Linked DNA regions of Saccharomyces cerevisiae S288C. The gene in region 2 interacts genetically with the main gene of each other region. Each region holds a gene or a part of one and is shown on either strand. Other genes may lie near its edges.

Region 1 (4,352 bases), on a different chromosome or scaffold from region 2:
CGATGGGTGTGATGCTGGACGACTATATTAGGTCATTGGCAAGCGTAAAAGCAATTTTCAATCAGAGATCCAAATTGGGGTATTTCTTGGTAGTAATAGAAAATGACATGAATAAGAAACACTCACAATTGGGCAAATTGGGTCAAAATATTCATTCAGAAAAATTCAGAGAAATGAGAAAGGAATTTCAAACATTGGAGAGAAGGTATAACCTTACAAAAAAACAATGGCAAGCGGTAGGAGATAAAATAAAAGATGAATTCCAAGGTTTCTCTACTGATAAAATTCGGGAATTCCGAAACGGCATGGAAATATCACTAGAAGCGGCCATTGAATCTCAAAAAGAATGCATCGAGCTTTGGGAGACATTCTACCAAACCAATCTTTAGATGATCTGTATACAATAACTTTATGTGTCACGTTCCTCAGGATTTATGAATTAGGAGATTTTTGTTTTATATTATTACATACTATACAGTAAGTAAAATGAATAGGTCCGTTTACAGCCAGTGCGACGTAGCATCTTTGTAAAGAGATTGCCAAATAAAGGCTTCGCTCAGAAGCATTTCAATATCCGTTTCAGTCCAGTCCTTTGTAGGAGGGTTCTGTAAGAAAGTTATAGTTTCTTGGAAATCCATTTCCATTAGCTGGTCACTCCACTTGATGAGGAATGCAGCACAAACAAACACATGAAACTCATTCAACGAAGACTGTCTCATTTTTCCACTGTCTTCAACAGCATTGTTTGGTGTCATATTAGAAAGAGCTGTGGTGGGAGATTGGAAATCTTTTGTTGGTGTAACAAAACTTGCCACTCGAGGTTCTGTTGGAGTAACAGGAGGTTTAATGTCATTGGACGACATAGAATAAGAAGAAGTGACCTCTTGTGAAGTTTCAGATAAATATGTGTCCCACATCCTTATTACTGTACCCATTTGAAATTCTCTCATCAAAAGGCAATTCATCCATCTGAATGCAAACTGTATAAACTCCACATGTTCATTTTGAAAATGGTTATATAGATCAGCATCAATTCGTTTCACTAGCTGACTCAAATTCTTCACTTGTCTTAATATGCCTGGTTGTCCGTGAATATAGTTATCGGTAATTTGTTCGAGCAATTTGGTAAGACACCAAAACGTGTCCGCTTCTAAATCTGTAATCTGTTCATCTACCATATAAGTAGAGGGGTCCTTTATCTCTACATCATCTATTTGTGAAGGCGGCAGATATTCGGTAAGAAAAGTCTCGAAAAATGGTGTAACTAAATCATTAATACCTTGCACATATCCGCTAGCAGGATGCCTGATTGCCCAAAGATATAGTATTCGTTGTAAACTGTTCTGTACGGATTTGAACTGGTAGAGGGGAATGTGGGGATTTGTTCTCGGTATATCTATCTCTATCTGATGCCAAGTTGGGATATCTCTTGAGTGCTGGTCAGAAAAGGTATGTTTCAGACTATCCCTATATTCTTTCCTCTTCCTTTGTAAGAAACCCTCCTGTCTCTTGGTGTTCACAGGCAAATAACCTATTAATAATTTCCAAACAACAGGCCTGTGTATTTTTGGGATACCATTCCAACTGATCTGGCGCAGATCCTGTTGATTTATGATTGTCTTATCTTTCAAAATATTGTCAAATTTAGAAATGCGCTGGATGATGGAGTTTAATTCTTGAACATCCCGTTCGTTTTCGATTTCCAACTGAGTTTTCTTGGAATCATTTGTTTTCTCTTTTTGCAGCTGTGGTAATTGAGGGTATGTAAAAGAGGAGGAAGAATTCCGTACTGCGGAGGTCCCCATATTCGAAATCGAATTGATGGAAGAAGAAGTGGATTTTCGCGACAAAGTTCTCGTTGGAGCTACAGGTGTACCAAATCCACCGTTAGTAAGTATAGGAATAGGCATATTATAATCGTCAATAACAGCACTCCAATCCTCATCTAAGTCTTTGAAATATCGATCACCCTTTTTGTTAGGCTCTGTACTGTTACTGCAATTGTTGCCTACACTACCACTACTGCTATGGCGGGGTTGTTGATGGTGGTGATGACGCTGGTGATGCTGACGTAAGAGTAAAGCAGGCCGGGGACTTTCGTTACTTGCAGTGCTTAGAGTGGGGTTTACATATCGTAGAGGTGAATAGGAATTCGAGGTACGTCTAGTGCTTGCTTGTTGCTTTGCCATAGCTTCAAAATTACCGTCACTGGTTCTCCGATCTCTATCTGCCGAGGAAGCATAACCCGAGGGTAAACTAGTAGATTCAGTAGTATTCATTTTGTATAACGATGGCTTCTTGGAGGAAGAAGCCGACGATATCCTCCAAGATTTCATCAGGGAAGTTACTAAACTGGAACTGTCCGAATTATGGTCCCGTTCGTGCATTTCCTTTGCAGCGGATCTCACACCCATTATATGGTTACTTTTATTAAGTGGTCGGTATTGGTGGTTGTTGTTGTTATTTGTATCCTTGATCTACTCTCCAATAATAGTTATAAAAATAGAAAGAAAACAAAACAATTAACAGCAGGACAAAAGCCAAACACTATAGCAATCTGGCTATATGATATGCAGAAAATAGTGATTACTGTGCTCTTTGCTGCATCATGCATCATATGTTTGGCATTCTGTCCTGTCAGATGAATGGGCGAAACAATTCGGGGAGCTTTGTTGCGACTTGGTACCCGGCAAGCCGCGACCTATATTTTGCATTAAACGAGTTCATCGTGGATTTATCGCCATGAGCCTTAGCTTATCAAGCCTCTCACAGACAATTAAGCAATGAAAAAGGTATACCATCGGCGCAGAATGGTTAACTAGTGGGTTCATACTGCTGTGTTATAGATTGTTACCTAAGTGATCACCAAAAAAAAGTGCAAAAAGGAAAAAAAAATAAGAGACAGGTAACTTCCACAAGCTTATTCTTCCAAAAATCAATCTTATCTTCATGCCAGCAATAGTTGCGTGCTGAGCTCAACAGTGCCCAACCCTTGTGCACCGTAGAATTGTAGAATACAAATACATAAATAAGTGTGTTCCCGAAGGACTAAGGAATGACGGCAGAGGAGTCTTGTGACCGCCCTGCTGCAAAACTTGGCAAGGACAGAAATTAAGTAATAGATACGCACAACCTTGGAGCACCAAGAAATGGCTGCAAAAGTAAATCTATAGTATTTCAAGCTGAGATATGATAATATGTTCAAAGGGCTAAAGTCTCATGAAACAGCGTCACTACAAGTCACATAAAGTTCGTACAGCAAGTCTATGCATGCTTTCCTCAAAAGAACTACCCAAATATAAACACATATACAAAAATTCAGATTTTACATTTCAGGTTTCCATAATATGTTAAAAGCTAGATCTTACATAGTGTCGGGAACAGGTCATTCTAAAAAAAGTAAAATAAAATAAAAGGGTTTCAAAGATCCATACTTCTCTACATTCTCTGACTTTTTAAAACTGTGTACTGGCGACCAATCGACAAATCTGCAACCCCAGCTTCATAAGCTTTCTCTCCCACCAGCAAAGCCTGGACCTCCCTGGTTCTAATAATGAGCGACTGAAGTTTTCCAAAAGAAACCTTCACTAAACATGTTATGCTCCTCAATCACGCGATGAAATAAAGGCCTATTTTTTGATCCAACGCCTTTGAAAATTTCCTTATGGCTGGGTGGGGTACCTACCATGAACATGTTAAAGGTAAGTGGTGGCATATTATGGAGTTACGCCCGTATACCAGAGTAATAATGTTGCCGCCGGATAGGCATGGCGCCCCCACCGGATTCTCTTGCTATATGGATGGCATAATTAGCTTATGAAAGGATTGGTAAGAATATGTCTTCTAGCAAGAAAATACTAAGAACCAATAGTTCCTTTTTTTATAAAATTATTGAGCCATACACAATAATGCCGATATTTGTCACCATAGACATACTTGACAGTAAAGTATTTGCAGCTGAGGATCGATCTGGTAGTATTCCCAAATTGTAAGATCTGTACAGATTTTCAAATGAAGCGTTGAAGTTTCCTCTTTGTATATTTGAGATCTTCATTTTATCGGATTCTTTGTCATCAGACAACTTGTTGAGTGGTACTAAAGGAGTGCTTTTCATCATCCTTTTGGTGAACGATTTCAAATACGTTAGTGTTTTCTGAGCTAGTTTTGATCAATTCAGGTGATTCGTTATCAGAACTCTCAGGTTTGTATTCGTGTCCAGTTGTGTAGCATTCGCCTAACGTGTAAGCACGGATTTCTTCCTCAGAAATTTCACTGTATGGAATCATGCCCTTCTTTCTCGCTTCTTCGTCGGTAAATGCACCATAGTAATCTTTGTCATCATGTCTAACAGT
Region 2 (8,047 bases):
CTTGAAATATGACTTTACCTATCTCGATAAAATTCATTTGTGGTCGTCTTCATTCACTCCTGGGCAATGCTCGTAGAGATCACCTTCATCCTTATACTTGATTCCGCAAAAAAAACAGTAGTACTTCTCGGACCTCAGGAATATATTCAATTTTGTTATTCTTTTTTCAATGCTCAATTCTTCTAATTCAGCAAGTTCTGTGTCTTTTGTAATGCGACTACCGATAATTGAAGTATCACAATCTATTAATGTAGAAGGACGTCCAAACTTTTCACCTTTTATTGCAGGCGAAGCCTCCAAACTTTCATTTACCATTGGTATCATATTATTCTTATCTTCATTATCATTGTTACTGTGATTATTTAGGTCATTTTTTGCTACTTCCTCATTTAGTTGCATAACGTAAGATCTCCAAAGTACGTTAAAGTCTCTCGGATCTTCGCCTGGATTGTATAAATCGGAATCACCCATCATTTCAAAAGCAACTTTTTGGATCCTATACCAAATTTTTTTTAACCGCTTATTATTTTTCATTTCACTTTCTCTTTTTATAAATCGTTGTTCACTCATCTGCATGTCATTCATTGTTGATGGGTCGGGCTTTTCTGCACGAATTCCCCTCCTTTTTGTATTGATTTCTACCTTAATAGGCTCTTTTAGGGCACTTTCATTACTACCTAATGTTTCTCCTTCTTTGTAACCCATGTTTTCCATCATTTTATAACCCCTGGGCATGATTGAACGTAGTGATGTGCGTGCAGTTTCGTCATTTGTTGAATCTCTTTTTGACTTCTTCTGAGGCGGTGTATTCTTCAAATCTATGCGATCCTCTTTTCTTTTTGTCTTACTCTCCTCCATTTTATGCCCTCCCTGAAAGTGATGGTAGATGTGTAGCGTACCTCTTATTGTCCGTCCTCTTATTCTGTAATTCTTAAATTAAATTCAATCCAGTAAATATTACAATTGAATTGATACCTAATTTTTTCTATTGACTATATTTCAGAGTCAACGTGATCGTTCTAACTTTCATTATCGATTATAGATATTATTCTCAGCAGTGGAAATCTTTTTATCTCAACTCGTCACCACACAAAAAAATGGAGACAGGATCCGGAAGACTCAGGAGGATAGAGCAACGTTATTGAACAGTGTTTTTAATTGTTTCATTCTTAGTCTTTAATTTATTTACTTTAAACCGACGGTTATATAGTACGTATTCTATTATTTTTTAATCACAAAATCTCAAATAGGCATGCCTTATGTTGTTGTGAAACTAAGGTATATAAAACAAACAACTTTCAAAAAAAGAAAATGAGAGTAGGAAAAAGGTGGATGATGTGAGAATTTTAACAACCTTTATTTAAAACCGTTCACAATCTTGGGTATTTTTGGGATACCATCTCTTTCCAATTGTTTAGTGAGTTCTTCTTCCAGACCCCTTTTCCACAAATCATGATTTTCACCAATAGCGTAGGTGATTGTCTTGTTCATGTAGCCTTCTGGTCCTAGATAATTTAACATTTCAATGATGTCTTCCAACAAGATGGCCTTGCCCGCGGCAATACTATTACCTAAACCGGGATGCTTTATGTTAACGATGTGAATGTGGAAATGATAATAAGAAGGTTGGTAGTGAACCAAAATTCTCAACTCATCCGGATGGACAGCATAGTTGTAACAACCAGGAACAATGGATCTAATCTTGTTGTTCAAGTTGATTAACCACTGTCTGTCAGAATATCTTAAATCCCTTATTGTCTTGATATCGGTCCTGTAGACGATCGCAACTAGATATAAAGAGTCTAAGTTCATGCCATCCCATTTCATATCAGGTAAAATTAGGAAGCCGTCGTCCTTATTCTCCTCAGAAAAATCTTTATAAACGACCCTTTCTGACTCAGCGCCTTCATAAAGAATGTTGTTTACCCATTTAAGTCTACCGTTATTACACATTTCTTCGATGTAAGGCTGAACAATTCTCTTGTACATCTCAGGAGTCTCTCTGACTAAATGAAAGTTTTGTTGTTCATATTTCTTGATATGAATTGGAGTAGCAGGCCAAATTAAATTCAACTTGGCGGTAGGGTTCGACTCCATATCCTGCTTTATCACTGACAAACCCCAGTAGTAAATATCATTGGAAGTAATCTCCTTTAATTCCTGAATTCCGTTGATGCAAGAATATTCGTTTTCACAATTATATAAAACTGGAGTGGAGCGGCCATCTTGAGAGGGTCTTCTCACGGTTTCGTCAAATAGAAAGTGCGTCTTTTCAGCCGTGATAATAGCATCCTTGTTGTCAATGGTTCCCAATAAGGACATAACTTTGGTTTGAGGGTTGGAATCGAGGACACTAACAAATTGGAATCTCTTGATCAATGAAGCAAAATCTGTTGGCAGTTGAGACATGGTATATGCTAATTTTGTCGTTTCGCTTTCTTTTTTTTTCCAGGAATTATAACTTAATACTATGTGATTATTTAGTTAATACACAGACAGTTAATAGAGTAGTGATGGCAATTCGATCATCCAAAAGAGTTGGAAAGCCTCTTTTCCTTCGATATATAGTGATGATATCCTTGAAAAGACTCCCTAAAAAGTGCAGGTGCGGCGGGTCACCTGCCAGCTTGCCTGAAAAATACGTAATTATGTCAAATAAATTGCCATACTATACTAATACTGAACTAGACTATGTTATACACTTGGACCAAATTGATCGGGATTTGTGATGTGGGATGATGGGGTGACGTCTATTTGAGGAAGATCCACCAGAAGAGAAAGACGAAAAAGAAAGCGACAATGACAATAGGAGCATATTGACTGATCAAGAGATCGAAGTTGATCTTTTGCGCGGACTTTCTGTACCTTTTGGATGTTTCTTTCAAAGAAGAACTCATGTCACTCATTTTATCGAGAGAATCTCCCCTGTAAAGTAGGTCTTCGATGTTCTTGGACATGATTTGCTTGACACCTACAAGCTCTTGGTTTAGTTGGTCCAAATTGTCCTGAACTTTCTTATCACTGTATGACTTTTTTGTCATCTGTAGAAAGTTATCAAAGTTTACAAACTGGTATGGTCTTACGGTAGGCTTGGGGTACTCATTAGCAAATGAGTGTTCAAATTCTTGCGCTATATCGTTAAGGTATGAGAATGCTAAGTTTCTTGGGTATCCAGATTCGCAAATGACGAAGTAGTACACCATGGATTTCTTCAAATAATGGATCTCAAAGGAGCCACTTTCCAAAGTAGCCTCCGTGGCAGACTGTGGTGTCAATCTGGAAACGACGATTTTCACCTTTTGCTTTTGTTCAAATAATGAGGGATCATTTTCGTTGTCCACAGACGTACAAAGAGGCAGCCCATCTTCTCTGTAGATTAGTGTTGACTTTATCATCCCTACTTAATTGTGAGTGTGTAACGGGGTGTCACTGTCAGGGTTTTTGTTGGTTTTGGGTAATAATAGGTTGTAGATATATTATATTACATGGGCTCTACTTGTTTATCTTCTATGGTAGAAAAAGACCGAAAAATGAAAACAAAAAGCGTTGAGGATTTATTGCTAAAAAAAAATTCGTTTATGACGTCTCTTATTAGATAAATCAAGTGATAACTAGAGAAATTTATTTAATTATATATGCTAGTACAACACGTTTGGTTGAAAATTAGACCTCAAACCACGACAAACTTCTGTCTTATATCGAAGAAAGTTGGGAAACTCTCCCGCAGGTCCAGATTTGGTAAATGGTCTTGTAGGTTACTGATATTAAGAACGTAGTTAGAGTCGTCCTCTAATTGAGCAAATCCCAATTTCTTGCATTGTGGTAGTTCATTCCATGAAGTGAACTCTATACAACTCATATCATTTGACGCTTGTTTTTGGTGTTGGGTGGTGTCGCAAAGGGTATTGTTGATGAACAGTTCCTGCAGATTTGGTAGGTAAAATCCCTGGATTCGGATGGATGAACATTTTTCAATACGTATGATTTTGACAGTGAGCGATCTTAAAGAGTTGTTCTTCAAGCAAATCATTGGCCTCTTTAAATGGTGTCTTTGTTTGAAGGTATCATCGCTAAATGAAGAAGTAAAGGGGATCCAGTTGATTATTTGAGTTTTTTCTACCCCCTCAGGTATCAACTTGACTCTGAAATAGCAAGTACCATCGTTGGTTTCGTTAATTGCCATTTCTTGCAAAATTTTAATGTTTCCCCTCAATGATTTGATGTACCTTTCTGGTGAACCTGAAAATGTTGTTTCGTCATACTTGAATTTGTGCCCAGTGAATTCTTTAATCTTGGGCATTGACCAATTTTTCAAAGAGTGCAACTGAAAGAGGAAATTTATCGAGATATTCTCACTTAAACATTTGTTTAGAACATATGAAGATAAATCTATGAAGTTACAACATTGGGTAATCTCATTATTGTTTGGGTAGGTAGACATCTTAATAAAATTCAAGGTAACCAAATTAGGGAAGCTGATATGAAAATTGTTGAAGAATTGTTGCAAGATCGACTTGATAATTAAAGCTGCTACTGTCGTTGTCGAGTTTAAATTTAAATTTTTATCCACGTCAAACTCATTGTTCCTTTCAAATGTTTTTATCTTTGTTGTTAGTTTATGCAGTATCGAATTAAAGAATGAATCAAGGGCCATATAATCCAAATTCAATGTTTCAACAAAGGGAAAACAGATTTTCTTGCAAATGGGGGGTCTTTTCTTCCCCTTTTCGTTAGTCTTAGAAAAGAAGTTTCTATAGTTTTTATTAATCAGCTGAAAAATATCGGGATCAAAAATCCCAAAGAAATTTTGATCCGAATAGATATTTGAATCCACGAAGTCCAGATACAATGTGTTAATATCAATATCTGCGACTATGTTCGCAATATGTAATTTTTCCAAAGGTGAATAAAACGAACTCTTTATATTGCGAACACAGAATACGAACTCGATTATGTTTGAATTGGAATTCGCCAAGGGGAAGAAGGTTTCTATGAGTTTCAAATCTGAGAATTCGTCAAATATAACAATAAGTTTTTCTGCTTTTAAATTCTGGGCCTTGTCAGCATTGGTTTCCAAATCAACAACTCTGATATATTGTGCGTCCATGTCAATGTATGGCAACAATCTCTTCAGAAACCCGTACTCCGCTCGTAAAATCGAGTCTTGCGTGGCCTCACAGGTCAGATCTAAAACCATCAAATTCTTCCTAACGTAATTTGTCAAGAAGTCTTCCGTTATAGAGCCACCACCTCTCGAAGAGACAGAAAAATCAATTAGAGCCACTAAATTGTACAACCAATATTGAGAGTCTGTTTCCACCACAGTGAACTCAAATATCCTTTGGATAAGCTCAGTAGGCAAATACGTTAAAGCGGCAACCATCCTTTTCACTTCTACCCGGAGAATATATAACTTTCGAAATCACAGCCTATATATTGCACAAATTTCACGTAGAGCTCTAGCTGTGAAGATAGAATCATCAACTTTAAATTTGCTTAAATCTATTTATACAAGAAATGATCAACTGAATAAAATAACGAGCGGCTGAAAATTAAGGGTTCTTTCGTGTGTGGAGTTACAGTCCGTTGCAACGCCTTTCCAACATGCACACAAAACCAACAGTGGCTTATTCGCCAGAGGGTACAACAATGACTCAGAAATCATGAAGAGGCATTAACAGCGGTCAGCAGTGGAGCAATAACAACAGGGTCATTACTTCTTTACTACTTGTACTTAGAATACATCACGACAAGGTGCAATGCGGCGCCTTTCCGCGTTGACAAACTCTTGAAAAGCCCATGACAGGTGGAAAACACGTGGTTGGTACGGGACGAATAAGAAAGAGGCAAACGGCACTTAGTTTGTTGGGATGGATGGATCCCATTTTCCTATGAAATCTACTACCGGAGAGCCCGTTTCAAGTGGTAAGAAGGGCAAGAGGAGGAAGGTCATCAAGTCATGTGCATTTTGTAGAAAAAGAAAACTGAAATGCAGTCAGGCCAGGCCTATGTGTCAGCAATGTGTAATTAGAAAACTACCGCAATGCGTTTACACAGAAGAGTTCAACTATCCCTTGTCTAATACGGAACTGTTCGAGCAAGTGCCCAATGTAGCGTTGGTTCAGAAGATTGAGAATTTGCAGACTCTACTGAAGGAAAACGATAACAATAATGCGAAACCGGTGTATTGCAGGAGTTCAGAAAATCCATTACGGTCACTGAGAACTTCGGTTTTAGGTGATAATGGCTCGAGGTATGTGTTTGGCCCCACTTCCTGGAAAACTTTATCTTTGTTTGAACAAAATAAGTTTCAAACTGAGTTTCAAAATTTATGGAAAGTCTTGAAACCACTTCCTGAATGCACTAAATCGCAATTAAATGAAAATGATGTTGTAGCAGATTTGCCTAGTTTTCCTCAAATGGAAAGCTGTATTAAATCTTTTTTTGCTGGACCGCTGTTCGGCATATTGCATATCTTCAACCAAGACGATATTCTGTCCCTCTTGGACAGACTTTTTATTAGAGATACCACGGACAAGAACCTAGTCATCCTCCTCGATTTGCAAGGTAATGCAAAAGATAAGTATAATCTTGGCATTGTACTTCAAATTCTTTGCTTGGGCTATTATAACCAAGATATCCCTTCTTCCGTGAGTCATTTCCTTCACACTTTAAGTGCAGCGTCCTTGTCATCATCGAGCTCAAATTTCGTGGAAAAACTACAATTTTTCTTATTGTCCTATATTAGTGTAATGATAAATTGCACGGACGGTGTATGGGATGCGACTCAAGGCGTTGACTTAATCAACGAGCTATGCCAGGGGTGCATAAGTTTGGGTTTAAATGATATTGATAAATGGTATTTGAACGAAAGTGAGGAAACCAAACAAAACTTGAGGTGTATTTGGTTTTGGGCTTTATTCCTTGATGTATCCACCTCATATGATATAGGTAATCCTCCGTCTATTTCAGATGATCTTTTGGACTTAAGTATATTTACTGCGCAGAATTTCCAATCACCGAGTATTGACTTTAGGAGAGTTAAGCTAATGCACGATTTTTTAGATGTTTCCCGATTCACTACTCGTGAAATTCACAAGAGAGAGATGAACGAAAAATTGACCACTTTTTCATTGAGATTGATTGAATTTATACAATCTAACTTTTCACCTATCGAACATTATACAAATTCAGTTTACTACTCTGATATTGATCCCTTTGATATATTGATTTTATCAAGATCTCTAAGTATAGTTGCTAGTATATACAATATTGAGATGATCATCGCTCAACAAAGCAGAATCATAGATAAGAACAGAATGGTTCAGTTCTTGTTGATATCCATATCAGTCTGTGTTAATACAATGGTATTTCATTTTAAAGAGCCTATCAACGACCAGGAGAACGTGTTAACTGAAGGGCTAAAACTGTCTATTATTCTAATCAATCCACTTTTAATACGAATAGTATCGCAAGTGTACAGTTTAGCATTTAATAGGTTAATCTTCAGGGAGAAGGCATTCCTTTTCCTTATTGACCTTGACACTGGGAAAAAAATACAATTCATTAAATATGAAGAAGAAAACTTTGATGAACTTTTGACAGGATTCGATGTTAGGACTGATAAATTTCTGTCATTTTCAGGAACAATAATAAGATTTTACGAAATTATTGATAGCATATTTGCTGTTAATGAAAGAAATAAGCGATTGTTAAAAGCAGTTTCCAATTTTTATCAGTTAACTTCAACTTTGGCGTTTGAACGCGTAAGTAGGGTTTTATTCGATAAAGCGTCCCAAGCAAGAATAGAGACTGAAAAAATTTGGCTGAAAAAGGGCATTAATATGGAGCACTTCAGTGATCTCATGATTGAAGATTTTATTAATGATGTTTGGAAAACGTTCAAAGAGATTTCCAAAGACCTTTGGTCCATTGACAAAAAGAAATTTTATAAACAATATCATTTCGATTTATAAATGTATTTATGATTGATGTATTTTTTTACATGGATTTTTTCGTCCCAAAAAGGGATGATAGTGTTGGCAGC
Region 3 (3,328 bases), on a different chromosome or scaffold from region 2:
GACTTGAGACCCTAATCTCGAGACATTTTGATACTTAATAGATGGTGTACAAACAGGCATAACGATAGTAGCAGGTATTTTCAAGTGTTTAGCAGCAAAGGCCACACCTTGGGCATGATTCCCAGCTGAACAGGCAATAACACCCTGGTTTCTTTGAGAATCGTCCAACTTGGCAATCATGTTATAGGCACCACGAAGCTTGAAAGAGAAAACAGGCAATAGATCTTCTCTTTTCAAGATGACATTCGTGTTTAGACGGGAAGACAAACCTACACCTTGAGAGATTGGAGATTCATTAATAACATCGTATACAGAGGACCTTAAAACTAAACGGACGTAATCAGGGGTGTTATCAGTTTGCAGCTCATCCAATTTCAATTCAGAGTGTAGTTTTATCAAGGAAGGTGACAGGTGTTGTCTGTGCAAATGAGCCTTTAGTCTCAAAAGGTTCAATCCAGACACTTTGGACTGTTTACCTTGCCGAACAACCGTACATAATGGTTGCTTTAGTAGAGTAGCTGACATCACTAACTTTGTGTAATTGACTTAGTTTAAATGTGGCTTGTAGCACTCACACAAGAAAGAACTCAAAGCAGCAACAACAAAAGTTTTCAAAGCTGATAATGAAGTATCTGCAGACATATGTTTGAGATGACTCTTTTTCTTTGATATTTTTTTTTTCTTTTTATGCGATTCCAAATTTGCTACCCGCTGCGCTTTTTCTTTTTGCCCTTCTTATTTTTTCTTTTTCGCGTCAATTAAAATTGAACGTCACAAAATAGCAGAGATAATATGCAATAAAGAGAGAAGAGTTAAAGAGTCTTGGTAGTCAGGAAAAGGTTTTCATATTCATCAGACATAATGAATTTCAAGGAGCCGCTAGTGAATTTTTTAAAATGCGTCTTGAATAACATAAACTCGGCATTTTCGCATAGGATTGATCAATTGCAATTGCAGCTGTTGCGGGAAACAAATATCTTGAGGGTTTTGAACAGGGGAATAGAGAGACTGTTTAGCGAGAATCCAAGGACCCATTCTGTTTCCCGTATCGTGGTGGAAAAAGATGTGGGCTGCAGAATTGGACGATATGTGGAAGGTTCTAAATATGAACTGGTAGAGTCCAGGGCGAAAGAAATACAAATATATTATGAAAGGATGGTTTTTGAAATAACACAAGAATTGAAAGGGGACAAGCGGGTGTTTGCCTTGATTGCAAATCTTTCCCAAAGATATAGCGCAGAGAGGAAAGAAATACGAAATGTAAAGGTGCATGGTGGGCGGCCATGTAATGAGAACGAATTCCAGGTGATTCCGATAAGATTCAAACCTATTAATTTGGAAAGAAGAGCACGACTGATAAGAAAGAAGAAGACTATTAATTAAAAAACTTACATACAAATACATGCCTTACTTTCGATGCCAGCATCTGGAAAGGGAAAGGCAGGGGCAGAGGGACATATTACTTATCTATTTATGCATAATTTGTGTTATATATTGGTATGATAACTTGATGTTAGAGAATGTGCTATTCTGTTTCTTGAAAATCTGAGTTAAGGTTGATACCGCTTTGATACAGCGGGTGTGACAGGTTTATCTGTGACGGTGACAGGGGCAGTAGAACTACTGGAAGCCGCAAAGTCAGAGGATACTGTGAGTGGTGGTGCCCACAACGTGGATGGTCTCAGTTTGACCCTAGGACTTGCAGAAGATCCTGTGGGAAAATCCGGGGAAGGCGGATGGCTACTTGGGTTGAGCATTACTCTCTTTGTGAAAAGGGAGGGAGGGAGAAGTTTGGGGATGAGATGGTTGCTCTTATAACATAAGGTAAATAAAAATTTGGGGTGACCCCGCCGTGCGCGTTTGCTGGGACAAAAGAACAAGAATAGGAACATGAAAAGATTTGAATGATATGGATATGTACAAATGAGCTCTTCCATGTTTGTAGCATCAGCAACGTAGCTCTAGGAAATATGTCTGAATTAACAGAGGCGGAAAAGCGCAGGTTACTAAGGGAAAGGAGACAGAAGAAGTTTAGCAATGGAGGTGCCAGCTCCAGGCTTAATAAAATCACCGGGCAGGCAAGCAGTCATTTGAACGCAGAATCACCTTTAGACGCTCCTAGCGCTGCAAAGACCACACCACCTGCGAGTGTGCATTCGGCTACTCCAGATATCAAAGAAGATAGCAACGTAGCGCCCCAATTGGACCTATTGAAACAGCTCGCTGCCATGCAAGGCCAAGGTACGGGTAAAAGTACCCCTCAGGACTCCTCTACGCCCGATCTACTCTCACTACTAAGTTCTATGAACACTGGCATGCCCAGTGCAGAGGGTACACCATCGTTTGGTCAAGCGGCTCCTGCAGCCCCGATCAATCAAGCTGCTTTGGACTACCATGATTACTTGCTGAACAGACTGAAAGCCTGGACCATTCTTGTGAAGTGGGTCTTTTTCCTACTACCCTATCTATACCTAATCACAAGACCAAATTCCTCTGTGTGGCCGGCCTATGCATTTACTCAATCAGCTTGGTTTGCACCTTTGCGGAACCCATCGAATTTCACTAGAATTTTTGCCACGTTTGAGTTCCTTTCCATATCCATCTACTACCAGCTATTGAAGAATGTGGAACACAAGAGCAAGATTAAAAATTTACAAGATACCAATAAACTTGTCAAGTTAGTTTCACTGGTGCCCGAGGGAGTAATTCCCGTCGCCAACCTGAAGGGGAAGCTAATTACCCTTTTGCAATACTGGGATCTATTGTCCATGCTAATCACTGACATTTCGTTTGTGCTAATTGTCTTAGGCTTATTGACGTACTTATAAATTCTAGATAGTTCAGTAATATAATACATTGTTCTCATAACCCGACATTATTCCCGGCTTTCTTTTCAGGTAATTGAAAAAAAAAGAAAAACGGTAAGAAAATTTTCTAAGCGATGAGTTCGTGAAAAATCGATGTATAGAACTGAATTGGAGTTCAATAGTAAAAAAAAATCCATATATAGCATTAAAAACTCAGTATCCTAGCTTTAAGAAACTGAACCAGATTCCAACGACACAATGGGTCACAAGAAGAACGGTCACAGACGCCAGATAAAAGAAAGAGAAAACCAGAATAAATTTGAACGTTCCACATATACTAATAATGCTAAAAATAATCATACTCAAACAAAGGATAAAAAACTAAGAGCAGGCTTGAAAAAAATAGACGAGCAATATAAAAAGGCGGTATCTTCTGCTGCGGCAACAGATTACCTTTTACCCGAGTCCAATGGTTATTTGGAACCTGAGAATGAGCTAGAAAAGACTTTCAAAGTGCAACA

Evidence for each region. A genetic interaction does not mean that the proteins touch.
Region 1: mutations in SEC22 (region 2) and GYP1 together harm fitness more than expected from each alone (negative genetic interaction), as found in Saccharomyces cerevisiae (6 studies listed by BioGRID, with this or other methods).
Region 3: mutations in SEC22 (region 2) and GET2 together harm fitness more than expected from each alone (negative genetic interaction), as found in Saccharomyces cerevisiae (6 studies listed by BioGRID, with this or other methods).

Annotation. Positions count from the first base shown.
Region 1 is NC_001147.6:455,407-459,758, forward strand, and holds GYP1 (GTPase-activating protein GYP1), read right to left. Parts: upstream 2,415-4,352; coding exon 501-2,414; downstream 1-500. Other genes in the region: VPS5 (sorting nexin 1), read left to right, coding at 1-389; NRT1 (nicotinamide riboside transporter), read right to left, coding at 4,074-4,352. UniProt on the Saccharomyces cerevisiae protein: GTPase-activating protein (GAP) that stimulates specifically the intrinsic GTPase activity of Ypt/Rab-type GTPases YPT1 and YPT7. Functions on the Golgi as a negative regulator of YPT1. Functions on the vacuole as a negative regulator of YPT7.
Region 2 is NC_001144.5:675,548-683,594, reverse strand, and holds SEC22 (SNAP receptor SEC22), read right to left. Parts: upstream 3,396-8,047; coding exon 2,751-3,395; downstream 1-2,750. Other genes in the region: CMG1 (Cmg1p), read right to left, coding at 34-858; DCS1 (5'-(N(7)-methyl 5'-triphosphoguanosine)-(mRNA) diphosphatase), read right to left, coding at 1,357-2,409; BOP2 (Bop2p), read right to left, coding at 3,671-5,383; PDR8 (Pdr8p), read left to right, coding at 5,871-7,976. UniProt on the Saccharomyces cerevisiae protein: Nonessential SNARE involved in targeting and fusion of ER-derived transport vesicles with the Golgi complex as well as Golgi-derived retrograde transport vesicles with the ER.
Region 3 is NC_001137.3:325,674-329,001, reverse strand, and holds GET2 (GET complex subunit GET2), read left to right. Parts: upstream 1-1,970; coding exon 1,971-2,828; downstream 2,829-3,328. Other genes in the region: threonine ammonia-lyase ILV1, read right to left, coding at 1-525; YER085C (uncharacterized protein), read left to right, coding at 862-1,383; YER084W (uncharacterized protein), read right to left, coding at 1,551-1,937; UTP7 (Utp7p), read left to right, coding at 3,066-3,328. UniProt on the Saccharomyces cerevisiae protein: Required for the post-translational delivery of tail-anchored (TA) proteins to the endoplasmic reticulum.